Linked DNA regions of Cricetulus griseus. Each later gene encodes a partner of the first gene's protein in a complex. Links are inferred from orthologs where the notes say so. Each region holds a gene or a part of one and is shown on either strand. Other genes may lie near its edges.

Evidence for each region.
Region 2: Ndufab1 (region 1) and Fdx2 share a complex: the UniProt entries of both Homo sapiens proteins name them as parts of the mitochondrial core iron-sulfur cluster (ISC) complex. The link is inferred for Cricetulus griseus from reciprocal best matches to the Homo sapiens genes NDUFAB1 and FDX2.

The regions. Positions count from the first base shown.
Region 1 is NC_048596.1:78,579,731-78,583,544, reverse strand, and holds the end of Ndufab1 (acyl carrier protein, mitochondrial), read right to left. Parts: intron 1,861-3,814; coding exon 1,773-1,860; intron 900-1,772; coding exon 808-899; 3' UTR 800-807; intron 186-799; 3' UTR 53-185; downstream 1-52. UniProt on the Homo sapiens protein: Carrier of the growing fatty acid chain in fatty acid biosynthesis.
Region 2 is NC_048597.1:133,929,509-133,933,998, forward strand, and holds the start of Fdx2 (ferredoxin-2, mitochondrial), read right to left. Parts: upstream 3,045-4,490; 5' UTR 1,979-3,044; coding exon 1,548-1,978; intron 1,453-1,547; coding exon 1,346-1,452; intron 1-1,345. Other genes in the region: Raver1 (ribonucleoprotein PTB-binding 1), read right to left, coding at 3,682-3,828, 3,918-4,001, 4,357-4,490. UniProt on the Homo sapiens protein: Electron donor, of the core iron-sulfur cluster (ISC) assembly complex, that acts to reduce the persulfide into sulfide during [2Fe-2S] clusters assembly on the scaffolding protein ISCU.

The DNA.
Region 1 (3,814 bases):
CAGGCCAGAATGAGATTGTCTCAGAAAAGAAAATTGAAGATTGAGAAAGATGTTAGTTTTATAATAGATTTATTTTTAAAGGGTAAAACACTCAGACAATTTAAATACAAGTCCAACAGAACCGCTGTCAGTCAGCCATGATGCCATCAGGTGTTCTTGGAATCCTCCCGGTGAGGAAGAAGGCTCTGGCAATGACAAGATAAGTTGGGTTTCTTTTTGGTGTGTAGTCACTGACTCTACGTGCTACCTTTAAGGTGCCCGTGCATTGAAACTAAATACTCTAAGCACTAAAACAGAACAATAGTGACTGTCAACTAAGGCTTAATAGCAGGCCAGTGCCCATCTAGGACCCAATCTGACCTTCACAAAGCCCTGATAGTGTCAATCATCATTGCCACTTTACACGGGGTCAAATTTATAGCTCAGCAGCTTGTTCAAGACCACCAGGCTAACTGCATGCCATCAATAAGGGGCATTACAGCCAGTTTTGTCTCTGAAGCCCGACCTCTTACTTGGGAGTAACCCTGGGCCATATCTGCTTCTTGGAGCAGGTGAGGCTGTGTAAAACTGCTTTTAAGAAGAGGGCTGAGCCCTGTCCAGGAATGATGCTGTCAAGCCTCTCTTGAAGATAAAGACCACTGCAAGGGTCAGGGCTTTGGATGTCAGATAACCCGAAATGGCCTGTGTTCTCTAACAGTCTATGTCAAACACTGCCAACTTTTGTTCTCTGAGTCTTCTTGTATTGAACTACAGACCGATTAGTCCTATGAGAGAAGGTAGTTTATGTCAGATTATTTACCTGATACTTTATTCATATACATCCTTCTTATCTGCAATGTAGTCTACAATTTCTTGTGGACACATTAACTTCTCTGCATCTATATCAGGAATTTCAAACCCTAAAATGAAAAAAAAAAGTAACTGAATATGGAAAAAGCAAACCCTTTAGAACTGAAAGCATATGACTCCACTTCCCCCTTTTAATTTTAGGTCAGAGCCTCACTGAGTTACTCAGGCTGACCTTGAAATTTCAAGTAGCTGTGATTACAAGTCTGTGCCACCAGGCTTGACTTACATTTGGTACTTTCATAATACCTACAGCTGTGTTAAACATCTCCAGCAATCTTAAATCCCATTTCGCTTTTAAGCTGGGCAGGTTTTAGAAAATATATCATGTTGGGCTTAAGTTTTTTTTTTTTTTTTTTTTTTTTTTTTTAGAAATAATAGAAAATTTCTCCTTTAAGTACAAAACTCAGTAGTTTGTAGCATGGTTACAAGGTTGTACAACTATTGCTATTATGTAATTCCCCAAGAATTAATCCAGTTAATCAAAGTCCCCTAGAATAGTGGTTCTTAACCTGTGGGTCCCCTTTGGGGTCACATCAGACATCTTGCATATCAGATATTTATACTATGATCAACAACAGTAGCAAAATTAGAGTCATGAAGTAGCAACGAAATAATTTTATGGTTGGAGGTCACAACATGAAGAAATGTATTAAAGGATCACATTGGGAAGGTTGAAAACCACTGCCCTAGAACTTTTTTTGTTGTTGTTTTTTTCGAGACAGGGTTTCTCTGTGTAGCTTTGGAGCCTATCCTGGCACCCGCTCTTAGACCAGGCTGGCCTCGAACTCACAGAGATCCACCTGTCTCTGCCTCCTGAGTGCTGGGATTAAAGGTGTGCCCCACTAACGCCCAGCTTGAGATCTTTTCTTGAAAACAGTGAAGACTCATAACAAGCAGATCCAAAGCTAAGGTATATATGTTACCAAATTCGTCTTCCATGGCCATAATAATCTCCACTTGGTCCAAACTGTCTAAGCCCAGGTCCTTCATAAAATGAGAATTTACTGAGAGCTGCAAGAAAGAAATACCAAATAAAATTTAATTCATGAAAGTGTTTGTTTCCCAAGACAACAGTGGAACTACATCATCATATAGAAGATTTTCAAAAAAACATCAAGGCTTTAAATAACATGGTGTATTTAACATATACTGGCATGGACACAGTATATTTTGTTAGCTTGTTCAATTTCATTTTAAGGTAGTTAACTTTAGAAACAAATTTAGATAAAGGATTTCATGCTACATATTTTATTAGGATCTTTGATCACTAAAGGATATCTGAGAGAATTTGTTTTCTTGCTATTTTATTAATAAATAAAACCCCTTCTCCCCCAAGCCTAATTGTAGGCTGAGTTTGAGGTCAGCCTGGTTTACATAGTACAGTCAACACTATACAATGTGCACCTACCCTTAAACCCTCCCCCCAAAAATGGCTATTATAGGGTTGTAGCTCATTATAGAACATTTGTCTACTATGCATGAGGCCCGCAGTTACATCCCAGCAACATATACATTCAACAACCAAAATTCCTAAGATTATTATAAATTATAGGTACCTGTCAGATGATAAAATACTGTATTCACTTCAAGATTACCAGGAAATAGTCTTTAAAAATCCATGTTAAGGGCCTGAAGAGATGGCCCAGCAGTGAAAAGCATTCCCTATTCAATCCTGAGGACCAGATTTCAGATCCAGCACCCATGTAACAAGCTGTGTGTCTAGTACATGCCTGTACCAGCTCCAGAGTGGGCAGACACAGGAGGATCACTGGACTTGCTGGTTTCCAGCCTAGATGAGAAAGGACCTCTAGGTTCAGAAATACCTTGTCTCAAAATAGATGGGAGAATGATAGAGGACATCCAGTGACCTCTTCTGTCCTCAGAACACATACAAGCAGACAGAGACATACCCACACGTCCTTTTTTAATAAACTATGTTAAACTACACAACAGATTCCATTACTAAAGAGAAAAACTGTTTATAAACCAACATGAAAAAATTCCAAGAGTTAAGATAAAAAAGAAAGATGCAAGCCTCATGTCATATTACCTCTATAATCCCCGCATTCAGGAGTCAAAGTGTGAGTTTTGGGCCAGCCTGGACTACATAGTGAGACTCCATCTTTTAAAACAAACAAACAACAAACAAACAAACAAAAAGAGGCAGAAGCTGTTCTGGTATATGGACCACCTGTGTTTTTTTTTTTGCAGGCTTTTCTTGTATTGAGGATTGTGATGAGGCCCTGGCATGACAGATGTGTTTCCCCCTGAACTACATTCCCAGAGCACTTGTGCTTTCAGAAGAAAGGGAGATATACATAAACACTGTAGTGGTTTGAATAAGTCCCCAATAAGTCTTGGGTGTGTTAATATTTGGTGCTAGTTGGGAAAGATTAGGACATGCAGTCTTTTTGGAGGAGGTGAGTCCAAGGGGCAGGCTTCGAGGCATTGAAAGCCTCTTCCATTCCTGGTGTACTCTCTGCTTTCTGTTTGTGATTCAAGATGTAAGCTCTCAGTTACTTCTCCAGTGCCATGCTTGCCTGCTTCCATGCTCTCTGCCATGATGGATCTATACTTTAAATATATCCTTCCTTCGTATTTTATCACAGCAATAGAAAAGTAACTACAACAAATACGAATGTTATACATGTGTCTATACTGCCTGACACATCTATTATTTCTCTCCAGAAAGATACAAAAGAAGCTATATCTATACAAGGACAATGCTAATCTAGTAGGATAATGATTGGCTGGAGACTGGGGAGAGTTTTTTTTTTTTTTAAATTTTATTCTTTTGTGCATTGGTGTAGTTGCCTGCATGAATCTGTATGAGGGTGTCGGGTATCGTGGAACTGAAGTTACAGACAATTGTGAGCTACCATGTGGGTTTTGGGAATTGAACGTAGATCCTCTGAAAAAGCAGCTAATGCTCTTAATCGCTGAGCCATCTCTCCAGCCCTGCTGG
Region 2 (4,490 bases), on another chromosome or scaffold:
TTCCAACTCACAGAGATCTGCCTGCCTCTGCCTCTGCCTCCCAGTGCTAGGATTAAAGGCATGCGCCAGCAATGCCAGGCTAGTGTTACATTCTTAATTTTAAGTGTTTATTTGTATGTCTGTGTATGTTGTACATGACATTGAAATGCCCACGGAGGTCAGGTGGGAGTATGAACTCCTGGAGCTATTGTTACAGAGGTTGTGAATTGCCTGGCATAGAGTGGGTGGGAGGAACAGAACAGAGGTCTGCAACAGCCATATGTACTCTTCAGCACTGAGCAAACTTTCCAGTTCTATTATTCTCTCCACTTTAAAATGTATTATTACCGGGGGCTGGAGAGATGGCTCAAAGGTTAAGATCATTGGCCACTCTTCCAGAGGTCCCGAGTTCAATTCCCAGCAACCACATGGTGGCTCACCACCATCTATAATGAGATCTGGTGTCTCTTCTGGTGTGCAGATATACATGGAAGCAGAATGTCGTATACATAATAAATAAAAATCTTTTTAAAAATGTATTATTAGCCAGGCGTTGATAGCACACGCCTTTAATCCCAGCACTCAGGAGGCAGAGGCAGGCGGATCTCTGTGAGTTTGAGACCAGCCTGGTCTACAAGAGCTAGTTCCAGGACAGCCTCCAAAGCCACAGAGAAACCCTGTCTCGAAAAACCAAAAAAAAAAAAAAAAAAAGAAGAAGTATTATTACTGTGTACACAACGTGTGTGTGCCTGCCTCAGCACGGAGGTGGTGTCAGCTTCTCTCCTACATTTATGTGGTCTCAGGGAATTGAACTCAGGTTGGCAGTCTTTTGTAAGTGACATCCTACTAGCTCAAAGTAAGATGTGGCTAAACAGTAGAGACAGCCTGTGACCCCAGAACTGAGAAAGCTGAGGCAGGAGGATCACTACAGTGGGTTTGAGCCTAGCCTGGTTACACGGCTAGTTTCAGAACAGCCTGAGTTACATGGAGTCTATCTCAGTCTCCCCACCCGCAATATGGTGGTGTGGTAGCACATGCTTCTAGTCGAAATACTCAGAAAGTGGAGGCAGGAGGATCACTGTAATGGGTTGCAGGCTAGCTTGGATTACACACTTAAGTTTCTGGACAGACCGAGTTAAGGCGTGAGTCTTGATCACCGATCCACTCATACCACTCCAACAAAAACACTGGGTATGGTGTTATTGTGGTGCACACCTGTCACACCAGCGGGTGAAGGCAGAAGGATCAGAAGTTCCAAGCCACCTTCTGATATTCGAGGACAGCCTGGGCTATTTGAGACCCTGTCTCAAAAATACAAAAAGGAATAAAAGAGTGGCAAGGATCACCCCAATTCCGTATCACCTACCTTCCAGGTCCACCCCGTGGCGCTGGGCCAGGTGAAGAACATTGTCCCCGACTCTGCCCCTCACGGGGATCCGCCGACCAGAGCGGTCCACGAAGACCACGTTGACCCTGGGGACAGACAGGGTGCAGGCGCTGTGAGCCGAGGCTAGCCGGCCGCAGTGGCGGGGCGGGGCGGGGCAGGGCGTGGCGTGGCGGGCACTCACGCGTCCCGGGGCAGCTCCGGGCCGTCTGCCTCGTCCTCGCCTGCGCGCCGCTGTCCTGGAAAACACGAGCGGGTGAGCGGATGCGGCCTCGCTGCCAGCCGCACACCAACCCGGGCCTGGGTACCTGTCGTCCCGAGAGTCCTGGACGTCACTGCCACGTGTCCGGCCCAGGTACCCCAAGATCCCCCGGCGGCCCGCAACAGGACCCGGGCACTCACGCCGCGGGCCATGGAGGCGGCCATGACAGGCCACGTGACCGGAAGACCGAGCATGCTCAGTGCGTAGGCTGCGACTGTAATCGCAGTGTTTGAACGCAGTATGAGGTCAGAGGTGATGTACCAGGATCCAGCTTGACTTCCGGCCTGGAACTGTGGTTGGACACACCCTCCCCACGCTTTGAGTCTTATTGTATGTGTTCTGCTTGTATGCATGAGAACCAAGTGTGTGCCTGGTGCCTGCGAAGCCCAGAAGTTAGAGGGCTGTGTGGATGCTAGGAACCGAACTCCAGTCCTCTGCAAGGACAACGACCGACCAAGCAAGCCTTCAACTTAGAGCCACTTGCCTCTGCTGGAATTAAGTGTTATATGCCACCATGCCCAATTTTTTGTTGGTTTGAGGCAGGTTCTCTATATATAGTCTGAAATGTTGTAGAATTTGCTATGCAGACCAGGCTGGCCTGGAACTCAGATTCTCCTGCCTCTGCCTCCCAAGTGCTGGGATTAAAAGCCAGTGCCACCATGCCCCACTGCAATTTTAGGGATTGTGTTCGTGTGAGGGCAATTTGTGGGAGACAGCTCTGTATCATTTGGGTCCCAGGGATAAAACTTAGGTTGTCAGGCTTGGTGATGTGTTCTTACTGTAATACTGAGCTATCTTGCTGGGCCCATGGTTTGTCTCAAGAAACAGCCAGCTGTTTTTTGTTTTGTTTTGTTTTGTTTTAAACCGTTTACTTACAAACTTTAATTCAGCAAAGGTCTGGGGGAGGGATGAGGGGACACCCCCATGGAGTAGGTTTGGGGAGGGAGGCTGGTGGCTCAGCTAGCCAGGGGCAAGAGTCCCAGTCCCCTCAAGCAGGCAGGCTGTAGAGCTTGTCTGTGTGGGCAGAGAGAAGGCCAGCTTCAGTGGTCTGGCCTAGGGCTGGCGGTGGTGATCTGGGATCAGAGGGACATGGTTAGAGGCCCAGTGACCTGGGTACAATGGTCAGCTTTCATGAACAGCAGCAGGGACTACTGAAGAAGCCAGAGAAAACACTGCTTTCTGTACCCAGGCTTTGGGCTAAGGGGTGGTTTGCCAAGACCAAGGCTTTGGCCTTCTGTCCACAGGGCAGACACCCTGGAGAAAGGATGATCTCTAGGTCAGAGCTCTTTGGTCCTGAGTCAAGCTTCCAGAGCTCGGCATCTGAGCAGCTCTGACCTGGTAGGACCTGTGGCCCAACTTTAAGGCATCAGAAGGCAAGAAGACTATGGCAGGGGGCTGGAGATCTGGGATCGGGTACTGGCCAGAGTAGGCAGGCAGGAAGGGGGCATGAGAAAGCTATACCTGCAGCAGATGATTGGGAAAATAGGGCTAAGCTGTTGGAAACCGGAAGTGTGGAATGGAGGCCCAGGTAGGCCAGACCCTGAAGGAATCAAAGTTGGGGCTTTTCTGGGGTGGGGGTGGGGATGGATGTGGTCATCATCCTGGTTTTAAAAAATAAAAATTAGAAAAGGAAATCAAAGTCAATTGTCTAAGTTTAAAAAAGGGGACTGTCCCTGATCCTCACAGGTCAGGGACACCTCCAAAGGCACTCGAAAGGCCAGAACACAGGAGTGACGAGGCAGGCGAGGAGGCCTGGAGAGCTGGGCACAGGAGGCTAGGAGTTGGGGAGGGAAAGAGAGCAGGCCGGGCCCCTCTCTCTTAAGGCTGCAGGGTTTTGGCTCCAGGAGCAAGCCCACAGGTGTGGCCCCTAGACACCCCCACATTCCTTGAGCTCCGGCTGGTTGGTCAGCAAAGTCTTTTTCAGAGATTTCTCTATTACCCAAAGAAAGGATATTAAAAAAAATAATAAAAATAAAATCCCACAAAAACACAAACACCAGAAAAACCCAAAAGCAATTCGGTGCAGGCCCTTGGAGCATCTCTGGCGCCGACGTCTTTAGAAAATCCTCTTCCGCTTCAGGTAGGAGTCCGCGTAGTGGCCGCCGAGGCCCTGGGAGTGCTGGCCCACGTAGCTGCCCTCTGGGCTGGGCTCAGGCGAGGGGAGCAGGTGGGAAAAACTGCGCTTCTGGCCGCCCAGTGGGGTCTGGAGACAGATGGCAGGGGAGGCAGGGTCAGGGGCCTCTTAGGGGCCAGGGCTCCCCAGCCCGGTGCCACCCCTCCCCCTGCCCGTACCTTTAGCAGGTGGCTGTGACCATTGGGCCCAGGGCCAAGGCCCAGGAGCCCTTCACTGGAGCCCATTGGGGAGGAACCAACAGCCTAGAGGAAATCAAAGTGGTGGGGTGTCACCCCTGGAGGAAATCTTGAGCCCACTTCTAGCCTTGTGCCTGCCACCCAGAGCTACAAGGCCTGGTGGTGATGGAACTGTTTCTCCTCTATTCTCTGGGTATGAGACCACCCACATCTTAGGTGAGCTTGAGATGAGGGGAAGCTGCATAGTGTTAGGCTCCACACACACAAGAGGGAATCAAGTGGCCCATTGCCATTCCACCATGAGCAAAACTGTGAGCCCCACCACCAATGGAGCGGTATCTGAGGCACCTTGGATGACAAAGCCCTTAGAGACAAGACATGGAAACACAGGGCCCAGTCCTTGGTGGGGCAGGCTCCTCACCTTGTTGAGGTGGCTCTGCTTGAGGCCAGCCTGTAGGCCACTGGTGAAGTAAGAGTTGGGTGAACCGGAATAAAAATGAGAGAGGGGTCCCCCACTTCCTCCACCACTCCGAGGCTCATTGAAGCTGCTAGGTG